Struthio camelus: one gene and its partner. The protein of the gene in region 1 interacts with the protein of each later gene in a biochemical or structural test. Links are inferred from orthologs where the notes say so. Each region holds a gene or a part of one and is shown on either strand. Other genes may lie near its edges.

What was found.
Region 2: the proteins of PKD1 (region 1) and HDAC9 form a complex in vitro, tested with the Homo sapiens proteins (2 studies listed by BioGRID, with this or other methods). The link is inferred for Struthio camelus from reciprocal best matches to the Homo sapiens genes PKD1 and HDAC9.

The regions. Positions count from the first base shown.
Region 1 is NC_090956.1:1,860,162-1,867,426, forward strand, and holds the start of PKD1 (polycystin-1), read left to right. Parts: upstream 1-4,177; 5' UTR 4,178-4,220; coding exon 4,221-4,486; intron 4,487-7,265. UniProt on the Homo sapiens protein: Component of a heteromeric calcium-permeable ion channel formed by PKD1 and PKD2 that is activated by interaction between PKD1 and a Wnt family member, such as WNT3A and WNT9B. Both PKD1 and PKD2 are required for channel activity.
Region 2 is NC_090943.1:34,970,477-34,977,918, reverse strand, and holds the start of HDAC9 (histone deacetylase 9), read right to left. Parts: upstream 3,031-7,442; 5' UTR 2,966-3,030; coding exon 2,860-2,965; intron 1-2,859. UniProt on the Homo sapiens protein: Responsible for the deacetylation of lysine residues on the N-terminal part of the core histones (H2A, H2B, H3 and H4).

The DNA of each region.
Region 1 (7,265 bases):
CGGCTGCCCACGCTGCGCTCGAGAGATTTGCTGCACCGAACTTAAGCATTATGGAGAAATGTTTTTAAACGTGTGACCGGCAGCACGAATTAATGGAAGATGCAAGAAGTTCTCGTTCTTATTTATCGAAAACCCGCTGAAAGTTACGCCCGGATCAACAAATTTCCCAAGGAGCAAGTGTCTTCGGTCGGCACGTCAGTCGTCAGACCCTACTGAGCTCAACAGCGCTTGTCGCTGGAGGATGTGCAGGATTTGTCCCCAGGGCTCGAAGGCCAGGACAGAGGGAGCTCCTCTGGACAGAAACTAATCACTCCTCTACGGTGTCTCTTCGAACGGCTTCGCTGGAAGCTCTCCCCCCCGGAAAGGATTTGGCCAGCTGAGGGAAAGTAATGCTGAGTTCCCGAGTGCCAGAGAAAGTTCCCCAGGGCGCCACGTAGACACGTGTCTCCTGCCGTTCCCAATCTCGAGGAGGCCTCGGTCGCAGGAGCTGCGCAAGCCCCTTCGGGCGTTTGCTGGGAACGGCCGCGCGTTTCCTTCCCCGCGGCGACAAGGCACCAGGACGTGGTCACCCCGCGCCCGAAGCAGGGCTTGAGCGCAGTTCCCGTGGGTTTGCTGGGGACAGACAGCGCCGCGTTGCTCCTCACGCACACGCACGGCCGCGGCCCCCACCGCCGGGCGTTTGCAGCTCTGCCAGCGCAGCCGGCGTGAAGGGGGAGTTTGCACCCAGGTGCAGAGAGCAGCCGCTGGCCTGTGCTCCAAACCCACCTCGCAGCAGCGCCGATTATGCAGTATTTGGAATGTGATTCTTCTTTCCTGGCTCTCCGTAAGACGCATTTATCCTCCTCGCTTTACTTCTCCCTCAGAACGGCTTTACTGCCGCGGTGCATCTTCGGCTGGATCCAGGCCTTCCTGTGTAGCAGAGGTGCAGAGCTAAGAGCAAGTCTCTGGGGAAAGGATGGATTGGAGCCAGATCTAAAGGCAACACCTTGGGTCTATGCCCCGCAGGTTTCCCGTCCCAGGCCACTCGCTCCGGGTGAGGGTTGTGCCCAGGGCAGACGTCCACCGCTTCTCCCCAAGTCTCCTCTGACCTTCCCTCGCTCAGACTCCAGCAGCTTGCGCTCTGGGGCCGCGTTTTAACCTCCCTCCCGGCCTGCGACACACATACACATTCGCTGTGTCTGCGGTGAAATCCGTGCTGGCCTGGCCAGGACCCAAGGCCTCTAGTTTCCGCAGTAAGTGATCTGGCACTGAACAAGACGAACGCTTCCAAAAGCAAGAATTTCTTCTACGTTTTATTTGGGCTTCCTTGTGTTCTCCCCTCGGCTGACGGCCGGGGCCATGTTCTGTGTGCACCATTGCACAGTGACATGGCGAAAAAGGCACATATTAAATGCTAACAGATCAAGTCCCCCATAAAGTTATCAACTCCCACACTTCCTCTTCCGTGGCTTCCGAGCGGGGCCGGCTTTGGTTTTGGAGAGCGATGTCCTTTACAAGGACTGCAGAATTCTGTCTCCTTTGCTCATACGGAGACTTGATTTAGTAATATTCTTTGCTCACTTTAAGCTAGAACCAGTTGAGATCACCGAAGAGCCGTGAGGTCGCTGAGGCTCATCAGACACCGGCGGGCCTGGGCTCGGCGCGAAGGTCAGGCCCTTCCCCAGGGCCCTGTTTCTCTGCAGACCGCAAGTGGCCTGTGAACCCGACGACTGCGCTGCGGTTAACACTAAAAAACCAGCACTGAACAGCACCTGCCTTGTTTTTTGCCAGTTTTCAAGCTCTGTCCGTACCTGAGTTGGTTACCGCGCTGCAGAGCTGTAACACACACCACAGCCGGCAACTGTTATTGCATTCAACAGCTTTCGGCTGGTAGCGGCCTCGAGAGCGGGCCTCAGCCCCAGGAGCTCAGGGCCAAACGCCCTCCTGGCCCCGGAGGGTGCCGGGCAGCGCCCATGCTCCCCTGCCCCCTCACGGATGGGCCCCGCCAGCCGCCTTCGGAGGAGGGAAGGGTCCCCCATTTATTTCTGAGACAGCCGAAGCCTCTGCCCAGCAGAGCTCCTGCCCCAAGAAAAGAGCGGAGAGGGCTGGATGCGGGGAAGCTGTTCACCTCCCGGCTTTGGCCAAGGGAGGTCTTGTCGCAGGAGCTGCGGAGCCGGGAGCCGCGGACCCTTGCGTCCCTGCCGGCTCGCTGGGACGGTCCCCTGCCCCTCCTGCCTGGTCTCCGGGATGCCCCCTCTCCCCTGAATGCCCCCCAGCCCCAGGATGCTCCTCACTCCTGGGATGCCTCCGGTCCCTGGGATGCCACTTGTTCACTGGGGTGCCCCATCCTTGGGATGCCCCTTCCCCCTCGGGATGCCCCCCGTCCCCTGGATGCCCCATGTTCCCTCGGGATGCCCCGTTTCTCAGGATGTCTCCCATCCCCAGGATGTCCTCTGGGATGCCTCCTGTCCCCTAGGATGTCCTCTGTCCTCCCGGGATACTCCTGTCCCCTGGGATGCCTCCCACCAGCCCCTGGGACGCTCCCTGTCCCTGCAATGCCCCTTGTTCCCCGGGATGTCCCTTCTTCCCTGGGATGCCCTGTCTCCTGGGATGTCCTGTTTCCTGGGATGCCCCCCGTCCCTGTTCCCGGAATTCCTCCTGTCTCCAGGAGTCCCCCATCTCCTGCGATGCCCCTCTCCCCCCTGGCTGCCTCTTGTTCCCCCGGGATGCCCCCCATCCCTGGAATTCCCTCTGTCTCCTGGGATGTCCCCTCTCCCCTGGCATGCCTGCCTCCCCCTCCTCCCCGATGCCCCTTGTTCCCCCGGGATGCCCCTTGTTCCCTGGGATCTCCCTCTCCCCTGAGATGCCCCTCTCCCCCAGGATGCCCCTTGTTCCCCGGGATGCCCTTTGTTCCCTGGGATCTCCCTCTCCCCTGAGATGCCCCTCTCCCCCAAGATGCCCCTTGTTCCCCAGGATCTCCCCTCTCTCCCGGAATGCCCCTTGTTCCCCAGGATCTCCCCTCTCTCCCGGAATGCCCCTTGTTCCCCGAGATGCCTCTCTACCCCAGGATGCCCCTTGTTCCCTGGGACGCCCCTCTCCCCCGAGATGCCCCTTCTCCCCCAGGATATCCCTTGTTCCTTGAGATGCCCCCTCTCCCCCGGGATGCCCCTTGTTCCCCCGGGATGCCCCTTGTTCCCTGGGATCTCCCTCTCCCCCGAGATGCCCCTCTCCCCCAGGATGCCCCTTGTTCCCTGAGATGCCCTTTGTTCCCTGGGATCTCCCTCTCCCCTGAGATGCCCCTCTCCCCCAGGATGCCCCTTGTTCCCTGAGATGCCCTTTGTTCCCTGGGATCTCCCTCTCCCCTGAGATGCCCCTTCTCCCCCAAGATGCCCCTTGTTCCCCAGGATCTCCCCTCTCTCCCGGAATGCCCCTTGTTCCCCGAGATGCCTCTCTACCCCAGGATGCCCCTTGTTCCCCGGGATGCCCCTTGTTCCCCGGGATGCCCCTCTCCCCCGAGATGCCCCCTCTCTCCCCCGGGATGCCCTTTGTTCCCTGGGATGCCCCTCTCCCCCGAGATGCCCCCTCTCCCCCAGGATGCCCCTTGTTCCCTGAGATGCCCCCTCTCCCCCGGGATGCCCTTTGTTCCCCGAGATGCCTCTCTCCCCCGGGATGCCCCCTCTCTCCCCCGGGATGCCCCTTGTTCCCCGGGACCCCCCTTCTCCCCCGGGACGCCCCTCTCCCCCGGGACGCCCCTCTCCCCCGCCCGCCCCCGGCTCTCTGCCCGAGCAGCCAGCTGCTGCTGCGCGCCCCGTCGGGGCCCTGCCGGCTGGCGGCGGCCGGGGCCGAGCGCGGCGGGGGCGGGGGCGCCGCGGGGGCGGGCGGGCGGGCGGCGGGGCTGGAGCGGCGCCGGGTTTCCGCCGGGAGGGGCGGAGCGGCGGGCCGCGGCCCGGGCGGAGCGCAGCGCAGCGCAGCGCCGAGCCGAACCGAGCCGGGCCGGGCTGGGCCGAGCCGAGCCGGGGCTGACAGCGCGGGGCAGCGGCGGGGGAGCCCAGCGGGCCGGGCCGGGCCGGGCGCCGCCGCGGGAGCAGCGCGCAGCGCCAGCGCAGCGGGGAGGCCGCGATGCGCGGCGGGCGCTGAGCGCGGGCCGCCGGGCGCCGAGGAGCGGCGGAGCGGAGCGGGGCGCGGCCGGGCCGGGCCGGGGGAGCGGCGGCGCCGGGGCCATGCCATGCCCGTAGGGAGAGATGCCTTTTGGAAATGGACACACTGGATCACAGCGCAAACATGGCGTCCCCGCGGCGCGGCTGCCCCTCTCGGGCTGGTGCCTGCTCTGCTCCCTGCTGTGCGGGGGGCTGGCGGCCGCCAGGACCCCCCCGGCCGCCGCCTGCCAGCCCTGCGCCGCCGGCTGTACCTGCGCCGCCGCCCGCGCCGGCGGCTCCTGCCTCGTCAACTGCTCTGCCCGCGGGCTGGAGCGCCCGGGCGCCGACGTCCCGCCGGCCGCCACGGCTCTGTGAGTACCGCGGGGCGCGGGGGGAGGCAGCGCCGCGGCCGCGGGTTCGAGCCCGGGGCGCGGTGGGGAGGCAGCGCCGCGGCCGCCGGTTCGAGCCCGGGGCGCGGGGGGAAGCGCCGCGGCCGCGGGTTCGAGCCCGGGACGCGTTGGGGGGGAAGCGCCGCGGCCGCCGGTTCGAGCCCGGGGCGCGGGGGGAAGCGCCGCGGCCGCGGGTTCGAGCCCAGGCGAGCTGCGAGTGCGGAGGGGCAGCAGTGCTCCCTCTTCGTTCAACTTCCCGGAGGTTAAATTTTTCCTGAGTGGGATTGGCGCGTTTATAAAACTCGCTGTGATTTAACACCGCGATGGAGACCGGACGCCTGACAGTAGGGACAAACATGGAGACATCTGAGAAAGTTTGCTGCACGGACGCCACGGGGTTAGACATGTGCAGAAGTGGCCTAAGCCAAGCGAAAGGGAAAACAGCTTCAGTATGTGAAAAATGCGGCCCCAGTCTGGCAGCCCAGCCCTGGTTCAGCAGCCTCAGCTGGAGCGGGACTAACGCTCCCTCTGTGCGACGTCGCTGATGACGGCGCGAATCACGGCCACGGGGCCGCTGGGACGCGTGCCGCTCCTCACCTGGAGAGAGCATTTTTGTGGTGCCCAGCAGCAGGACAAGAGGCAATGGGCAGAAACTGAACCACAGGCAGTTCCATCTGAACCTGAGAAAAAACTTCTTCACTGTGAGGGTGACAGAGCACTGGAACAGGTTGCTCAGAGAGGTGGTGGAGTCTCCTTCGCTGGAGATATTCAAAACCCGTCTGGATGTGATCCTGGGCAATGTGCTCTAGGTGACCCTGCTTGAGCAGGGAGGTTGGACTAGATGATCTCCAGGGGTCCCTGCCAACCTAAGCCATTCTGTGATTCTGTGATCCAGCCCGAACGGGGTGGTCTTGTCGCACCCAGCCAGTCCGGCTCAGATCTTGCCAAAACGCGGCAACTTGTGGGGCATATAAGTCCGTGAGGTCAGAAACATCTCATCAGTTACGTTGAGCAAACGTTAAGACGTTCCCTGCAGGTACGTTAGAGAAGGCTAGGAGGCTGGCCGCACGGAGGTATCGTGCTGGCGGCTTCGTTTCTGAGACACCGAGGAGAATTGTGTCAAGAAATGATCAGTTGGATGCGATTTAAACACTATTAATGACAAATAATTTTTTTAAAAACCCAACAAGTTCAAATCAGATTTTCTTGATGAAAGTAGTAAAAGGAGATGAGAGTTATGCTCGTGTCTAGCTGTTGAACCCTCTTGGTTTGGTAAAATCGGTCAGAAAGGTATGTTTCTTGGGAGAGTACAGGAATAGTCCATATGCTCAGTCACTTACAGTTACTGCTTGACGTGAAAAGCAGACTTAGAGCAGAAGTGTTTGGTTTGTTTTTAGAACCTAAATGTGTGCTCTTTAGGGAGTAACTTTTCCGTTCTTGAAGAGACAAAAGCAGCTAGTGATTCATGTTAAAGAGGTGACGTGGGGCCTGGCGCGATAGAAAAATCTCACATTAACTAACTTCTGCTGGTGTTTTAATAAGCTAAAGGCAGACGCCTTTCTACTCCTATAATCTTACATAAGTTTCCACTTTTAAGGGACAGTATAGATTAAAAAATATTGCAGAAGTTTCAAAACACCACAGTAAATTGTAGATCTGCAAGATGTATCTAGATTAACTTCAGGAAAAAACGTACTTCTCTAAATCCGGAAGATGAGGAGTTTTCCAAATATTTTCTTACAAAACAGACTTTTCCAAACAAACTAGCCACTGCTTTTTGCAGAATTTCCCAACCTGGGAAATACTGATTTTTATTTAATGGTTTCTGACGTTACATTAGACATTAGATCTATGGCTCTGGAAATTGAACGTGCCACTGGGACAGAGGTAGAAGATCCGAGTGCTTTCCTGGTCTCTTGTGCAAAAGCCTGCAGAAGACTGTGACGATAAGTAGTTCATTTGGCTTTTTAAGGATCCATGTTATGACAGTACGTTTCTAGGATTACTAATTTTGGAAGTAAGTGTTTGAGACTGTTTATATTATTGTTGTTTAGAGGCGTTGAGTTGTGAAAGCTCCCAACACATTTTGGATTATGTCCTATTATGCAATGACAAATTCAAGTTAGACATAAAGCTCTTGCAGGTCAACAAAACAAAGCACCCAGAATGTGAGAAGAGGGCATCTGTTAAAGCAAATCTATTGAAACTGCAGGATAGTATTACTGATGGGTTTTTTTTCTGATTTCAGTGGAGAATTAGTTGTTTACAACACTGTTAAGAGCAATGCTTTAAGAGGAACAATTTTGCTCTATTGAAAAATGATTGTCTTTGGAATTCAGACTTTAGTGAATTGTAAAATCACCTTTGTCCGCCAACAAATCATCTTGTGTGTATAGACTCAGCTGAAAAAGTTTGAGCTGGTAATATTCCGATTATTGGTACAAGATGTGTTGAAACGGTCTGCTGTGGCACATGGATTTCCCTTGGGAATAAGTTTGCTCCTCTATTTGACCTCCTAAGGACGAGACGTGAGCTTACATTGTTATTATAACCACTAAAGATTTATAGATGAATTTCTGTAGGGATGAGAGAGACTCCAGCTCGTGACACAGTGAAGTTATGCAAGTAGTTTTATCTAATCATTTCATGTGCCCATTGTTGAACAAAGACAGATAAAGTAAATAATATTTTTTAATAATTTGCTCTCTGTTGTCTTGAGGAGAATGTATTTTATCTCTCTAAAACCTTTTATTTTTTTATT
Region 2 (7,442 bases), on another chromosome or scaffold:
ATACCAGAAGAACTGCCTCACATGACAGGAGTATTTCCTCTGCCTGCTATTGTCAGAAATTCCTCAGACCGTTTGCTTTGCAAATATGCATCCACTGGCCACTGAATCTGTCTTCTTTGGGGCTGACTCTGGCCCACTTAAAATTAGAGGTGAAGAATACACGCCCATCGCATCCGGAAACTAGCAAACTTAAAAATCCATTAAGTGAGTGCTTATGTTCTGCTCATTCAGGACTTCAGAAATATCAAGGCTGCAAGCTGTAAATGTTCAGGGACCTCTTCTCTTCTTAAATAGGTGCAAAATCTGAGCAAAAGCTACATGTATGTGAATGAAGGTAACTTTAAAGTAAAGATATTGCAGTTAGCAAAATTCAAATGACTGATTTTAGCTGCTCCTAACACCAGAGCACATCATCATACCCTGGGAAATTCCTTTCTCCCCTATATGCAGCACAGAAGGAGACAATACACACAAAATTATCAGGCCTGATCCTGCAAGACCCTGAGCTCAAGAGAGCGGAAGGTAACTGACAGCAGCACCAGACTTTGTGGTTTCATGTGCTATGAATTAAATTGCAGATTAAGTATAGTGTCAACTTCTTGCAATCTAGTTGTATATTTCAAAGGCCAAAAGAAACATTGAAGGCTATTTTGCATTCTACAAAGCATATATATTTAAACTTCTCTTACCTGGATAACAATCTTGACTCTCCATTTAAAAAAAAAAACAAAAAACTCTATTCTACTTTGCACTACATAATGGTATTTGGGCCTAATGTAATATCAGATAAAAACCAAATGCTGCATGGCATCTTTGTCTCCAGTGAAGAACAGCAGTGCTATAAACTTACAGAAAATTCTCTCCTTCTCTTGTGTTTCAATTAAGAAAATTGCTATTACTCAAGGAACATTAGTTAGTGGGTTACAAGGTAGCATAGCGAGCTAACAAAGCAGATTTTCACTTATGTAGAGCTAAGTCCAACCTGATGGATTATTAACAAAAATAGGGGAGGGGAGAAAAGCAGTCAGTGCCATCTCTCCGACCAATACAAAAGCACTGGGCACCTGCTGACCTGTTCAGGAAAAACAAAGCAAAGCAGTACTTCTTGAACAACAGGTCAACATTATAGACGATTTTGCAGAACTATAAGGCAACTTTTTCAGAAAACTTTCTGCTTTTATCCATTATCTTAGCTACAGCTTAGTTGTTCACGTTTGTAAATAAGTCTTTCACCTGATGTCTGTCTTTTAGATGGGAATTGTAATTGGTGATCAAAACCTACTCTAAAAAGATAAAGAAATGGTAGATCATCTGAGAGGACCAAAATAAAAACAAACCCCTAAAGCCTCAAATGAAAAGAAACAAACCAACCCAGCAGCTTTTTAAGGAAGGGGAAAAACTGCCAATCTTAAACATTACCAGTTGGAACTCTTCCTTCCCTTAGGGATTCTCATTATTTGAACCTGCATGAAAGGTGTTGCTATTTGACACAATCTCTCACAACAATCTATTTTAATATCTGAAACCATAATTCTGCTCTACAGTTATATGCAATAAAAAATAAATATAAGTACAGCTTTAAGTTGTTTTTCTATACAGCAGGAAAAGAAATAGAACCTTTTTTTTAAAAAAAAGCAACAACAACCAACCGACCAAACAACCAACCACGGGCTCAACAGGTGTACCAAAAGAGGGAATACTCAAACAGATCTGTGGTCCACCAACATAATCATGCTGAACAAGTGGGAAGCGCTGCCAACTTTTTTTTTTTTAAAAAAAAGGAGGGAGCAGACTAAGACTAAAGTATACTATTCACACTGTATTTTAGGTACATATCCTCCTTAAACCAATTATATGAAAAACAAAGTCAGAAACGTAGGATTGAAAAACATATAAAGCGACTAACGTTGTGCCTCAAAAGGCAGAGGTTCAGCCCAATAAAAAAAGAACTGGAGCTGCCAGAGTTTAAGAGAGAAAGGGCAAAGGTAATCCGAAATTTAGACTTTTTTAGTCTGTCTAAATTGACATTTTAACTGAATGGCTACAGTTCTTAGGGCTTTATTCATCCTCAGTACATCCTGTGCAGGTCTCACATCCAGCTAACAAAGAAAGCAGAAAATATAAGAGGGCTTCAAATACATGAAGTAACATCCAATGTTTTATCAGAGCAGCTTTGAAATACCTTCATTAAAAATACATCCAATTTACATTTCAGTGAGTCATTACATCTGAGTACCGCTGCCAAGTTCCCAAATATTTTTAAAGTAACAAAATAAACCATGCATATTAAAGACACAGACTTGCTTTAGCATTTTTTAAAGCAACACCATTAGGAAAACAGGAAAGGATTAATGTAAAAAAAAATCCCTTTGTATGTAAACTTGAGAAAAGGAAACTCACAAAAAAGACCAAATCCTGTTTACAAAATTACATATGAACAGAGCTGCCTGTGATGGGCTCTAAGTGCAGCCTACCAAAAAGGTCTGGTCTGATGAAGCCTCTCTCTGTGAATAAGCCTCTACCAAAGCCCCATTTTGCAATCAGAGAACAAAACAAATAAAACAAGACAGGAATTGCAAACTATATTTCAGCTGATAGCTTTCTGCTCTTGCTAGAAAGCAGTAGACTAAAGAAGACAGACCCCCCCCACCCCAAACAAAAGCAGCAGCTGATATCTAAAACAACATGGTAGAGACATGGTACTTAACAACAACTTATAAAAAGCCCACAAAAATAAACTCAGCTCTTTAAAGGAGGGGCTTGGTTTTTTTTTTTTTTCCGTTCAGTTGTAGCAGGTTGCATTTTCTGAGAAAGCCGCCACAGAGGCAGAGAAGTCTGAGGAACTGGGCTGTCTCTTACCTGAGCTGATCATACTGTGCATTCTTTGCTGAGCCAAGAGCTGCTCCCGTCCAGAAACCCCATCTGAGGAAAAACACGATTCACTCTCGTAAATTGTCTGCAGCATATTCCAACCAGGCTGTACTTCAGCTACATGAAAGATTCATCACTGCACTTGCACAGGGGTGTCAGGCGCGACCCTCTGTCCTCCTACCTCCTCCAGCGAGGGTTGCAAGATAAAACACTTCAGTAATTAGCAATGTTTAAGCATCTGTACAAATAGCTACTAGGAAAGAAAAAAAGCAAGATCCACTTCACACAGCCCCAGTCTGCTGCAAAAGAATAGGAAGTACCCAGTGGGCTCTGCACCCCTGAGTTTGAACAGTTGTGCTCTGGAAGCCAACAGCAGGTGGAAGAAGAAATGAAGAAATATTTTTGTGCTTCAGGCTTTCTTGGCCCGGGGGGGGGGGGGGGGGAGGGGGGGGAGGATAGAGCCTCTTAAAAAAACGAAACTAAATCAGCACCGTTTCCAGGGACTAAGAGCCCCTTAGGGTTCGGCCGGCCAAGTGCCGCTCTGCCCGCCGCGCTGCCGGCCGGGCTCCGGGCTCGGCGGAGCTGGCCGCGGCTCCTGCCACCGCATTTGCATATGAATCAACACCACTGTGGCCCAGAGGCGGCAGAAATAGAACAATGGCTGGCCTGAGCCAAAAATAGGTCAAGCATGGCCGGGTGATTGGAGCCTGCATTAATGCATTTAAAAATACCACAGCAAACACAGCTGTCCAGTCTCTGTCTTTCAGACTGCGATCCTCCACCGCTCGCCCTCGAGCGCAGTTAACCCTTGCCCGCTCCAGCAGCCCTGCTTCTGCGCGGGCGGGCGTGGGGAGAGCGGGCCAGGGCCCCCGTCCACCTCCACCTCCACCTCCACATCCGCGCCGAGGAGCGAGGCCCTGCCGGCCGCCCTCACCGCCTTTCGCTGCTGACGGGCTCTCCTGGCCCCCAGCCCTCCCCTCCCCCCGGGGGATTTTGTGAAGAGCGAGCAAAACGCAAAGGCCTCTGTATTGGTTCTGAAATAATACTGGAAGCTTTTGCTCATAATGTGGTTTCTGCCTCACCCACGCACAGCAATCCTGGTGTGCTATTTTTGTTGCCCGTTTCTCTGGCTACGCTGCAGTTGGCTTTAGCAGTAGAGTCTCGCTGCTGCCTTTTCGATACAGGACCTGCAGTCAGCCCAGAAGAGGCGATTTCTGAAACTGCCGGGGTGGGGGGGTGGGGGGGTGCTGCCAGGGGAAGCTGAAGGTGGAGGGACATGTTAATGGGGGAGCTGGTTTCATACCTTCATTTATGAGCAGCATTTCCATTTTTGGCATGCTCAATACAATTCTCATAGTAACTTACCAGTTGTGGCACAGCAAATGATACATGCTTACATACTATGCACTTTTCTGTTGACTTATTAAAATTTGGAGGGGGCTGAGCAGCTCACACTTATATTTAGAAGCACCAAGCAATTTGCACTGCGTCTTTCTCAGTTTTACGAGGCGATGTGGTTTCAGAATCGTAGCATTTGCCTGCATGTCAGACTACAGCACCACACTCCCCTGGGTCTTGGCAAGGCTTCAGGCATGCTATAGCAAGCTTTGTTTTTCATAACGCTGTTTCAGAAGTTGTATATTTTGTTTGCTGATTAATAGAGCTACACCTAGATAAGGCAAGTTTCATTTCACTGTTACAAACGATACTTTAAATACCTCTCTGGTCCCGCTGTGCTATAAAGTGTTTGCTGCACAGGTGACCAAATCCTCTCGTTTCCTAACTATATGACTACCGCATGGTGGCCAGGCACCTTCCAAAGTGCTGAGTGCCCCTCCATGTTCCTACTTTAGCATAGTGGCAATGACATCAGGGAAGTGATTACTCACTAAAATAAAAAAGCCAATGCAGAGGTTTTCTCAAGGGTTTCTAGAAGACCCAGCAAATCTCTGGACTATCGCAAGCATTTCTTATTCTTGAAGATGCAAGAATGCCAGACAGTTATCTGAAGCTCGGTTTTGCCTTTTGGCCAAGACCTGAACTGTCTGTTGTTCTAACACGTTAGGTTGTGGTGAAGGGCTTCTTTTTTTTTTTTTTTTTTTTAAATTTCTCACAACTGATACCAAGGAAGATTCACAATACCAAAGTTCTGTTGTATTCCTTTGACCTCTGGATAATCTATGCCATTTAGAGGTCTGTGGCTCAAGTCTCCTCCCTTCTTCCTAAACCATTTCTTCCTCCACATGCCACATCATCTAATCTTGCTGAGAGTTACAGTCTGTCCCTTTGGACAGATGGAGACTGCAGCAGCTGACAATAGGATTTTCCCAATAGGATCCCCCAATCAGTACCTATCACCGCTCAACACCCTCCTCTCCCTGCCTTCCCCCCCCCCCCCCCCCCACCACCGCCACCCTCATCAATTTACCACATACACATAGTAACTCTGCTTTCCTCTGCCCCATTTATAAAGAGGTAGAGGGGAAAGAGGTACTTCGCCTGTGGAAGAATTAAAGCTCTGCAGACAGTACAAACCCAGCTCCGGACGGGGCAAGGCCAAAGGCAGTGGCAGCACAGCGACATGTAGGGTGTTACAGCACAGGACTAGTATCACACGTATCACGGTAATGTTTACAGCTGACAATTTTTGTTATCATCAATATTGAAAGTAATACTCATAATATTCTCATGGATAGTGCTACAGAGTTAGCTTAGCTTCAGACTACTCAGTAATCGAGTTGATCAAACCATTGCAGTTTGTTCCCTAAAGGGCTACTTTCTATATCTCATTTGCAAGGATGCCAGCACTGCCTCTGGGAGACCTGCTTAGACCACCAGGATCCGATGCCGGAGCGCTTCGGTTTGTAACCATGCTAAGAGGAGAACAGCTTACGTGGAAAGGAGTGAGAAAGTAAAGGCTCTTTTATCTCTTGAGAATAAATATATCCAATTTTTTGTGGGAAATGTATGGCACCAGGGGAGATGTTTGACAAGAGTACAAGGGGGACCACCAGTAAGAATAGAGAGCTTCTCTAACGAAGACAGAAATGCATTTTTAAAAAAAGTGGCATTGCTTATTGAGTCAAGCAGAATATAATCCTGTTTAGTGATTCAGTGCCTCAAAATAATCAGTCTCGTATTACAGGGAAACACTTCAGGAATAAGTTTTAAAAAGAGTCCATAACACAGAAAATTTTGAAGTGTGGGATCCCAGTATTAGGCATCCACATGCGTTTGTATGTTCTTATAAATGTAGCTGCCTTTTTTTTTTATGATAGGGAGCATTCACAGATCTAACTTCAGATAGCTCAGTGACTGAAAAAAAAGCAAACTGTTTTCAAGAGCAGAAAGATATTTAGCTTTAAGCATTCTTAATTTTGGCATACATATTTTAAAATGACAGATATAGAATATACGCTATGTTAGCTAATTCACAGACTATAATGACTACTGCATTGTGTTTTATATTTCAGATTATATATAAAAATTATTATTAAAACATTTTACTCATTAAGTCAGTCACCCCAAAGGTAGGGCTTTTACAATCTGAATTCTTCCCACTCACTCCAACGTATAATGGGCCTACTTCAGAAAAGCTACAGGCTTAACTTTAAAGCACTTGTGCAAATCCATCCCTTTTCAACATCATATTTAGGCACATGTTAAATTCTATTGATTTCAACGGAATTTAAATACATAGTTAAACACTTTGCTGAGTCAGCCCAGTCGGTAACTGTACGATCACATGATTTTATATAGCTTCTTTACAGTCCCATAGCGGAAGGATAAAGGGTTCATGCCTGAAGAAAATCTGTTTTTTATTTTTAAAGTTATGCATGTTATAAGGCGCCATTTTCATACAGGAACTTGAGTTTTTTGTTCCAGTTTTTCCAAAACATTTCCTAAACTTAGAGAACTTTAATGACACTAGAGATAAGAGTAAACTGTTAAAATGATTTAGCACTGCTGAGGTGACTCTAAATGCAATCAGCAACTTTATGGAAAATGCAAGGCGTTTTAGTAGCATTATGATATCATTACAGTGCATTTCACAATATATTTCTCTCATTTTGCTTCTGAATTGCTAAACCAAATAAATATAAGGAAATTAAACTAGGAAACAGCATTAATGCAACATTAAGAAATTAAGCACTCAAAAATTAAAAAGAGCTAAGATTTCTACTGCATTATTAACTTAGCAACATTATAATTAAGTAGTACTTTTCTGTTTCTGCTTTCCTTGTTAAGCACAAACAATACATTACTGTTTGTTTTTGAGTGTATCTCATTCATTATTCTGAAGTAGAAACTTCATTGTAGTTCCAACTTTTGCAGTTTTCTTACTTGTAAATTAATTCTTAGGTAGATTCTTCTGCCCTACTGCTTCATTTTTGTAGATTTTTGCATCATACAAAAATTACATTCAAAATTAAATTAAAGAGGTTATTTAGCTTCTAGTCGTATGCTCAAGTTAGGATATCCCAGGCTTACAGGTGTCCCATACAACCTTACTTCAGCTCCTTTTTTACTAGGCAAGCATTCTGTGAAAAATCACCAAATAATAACACATA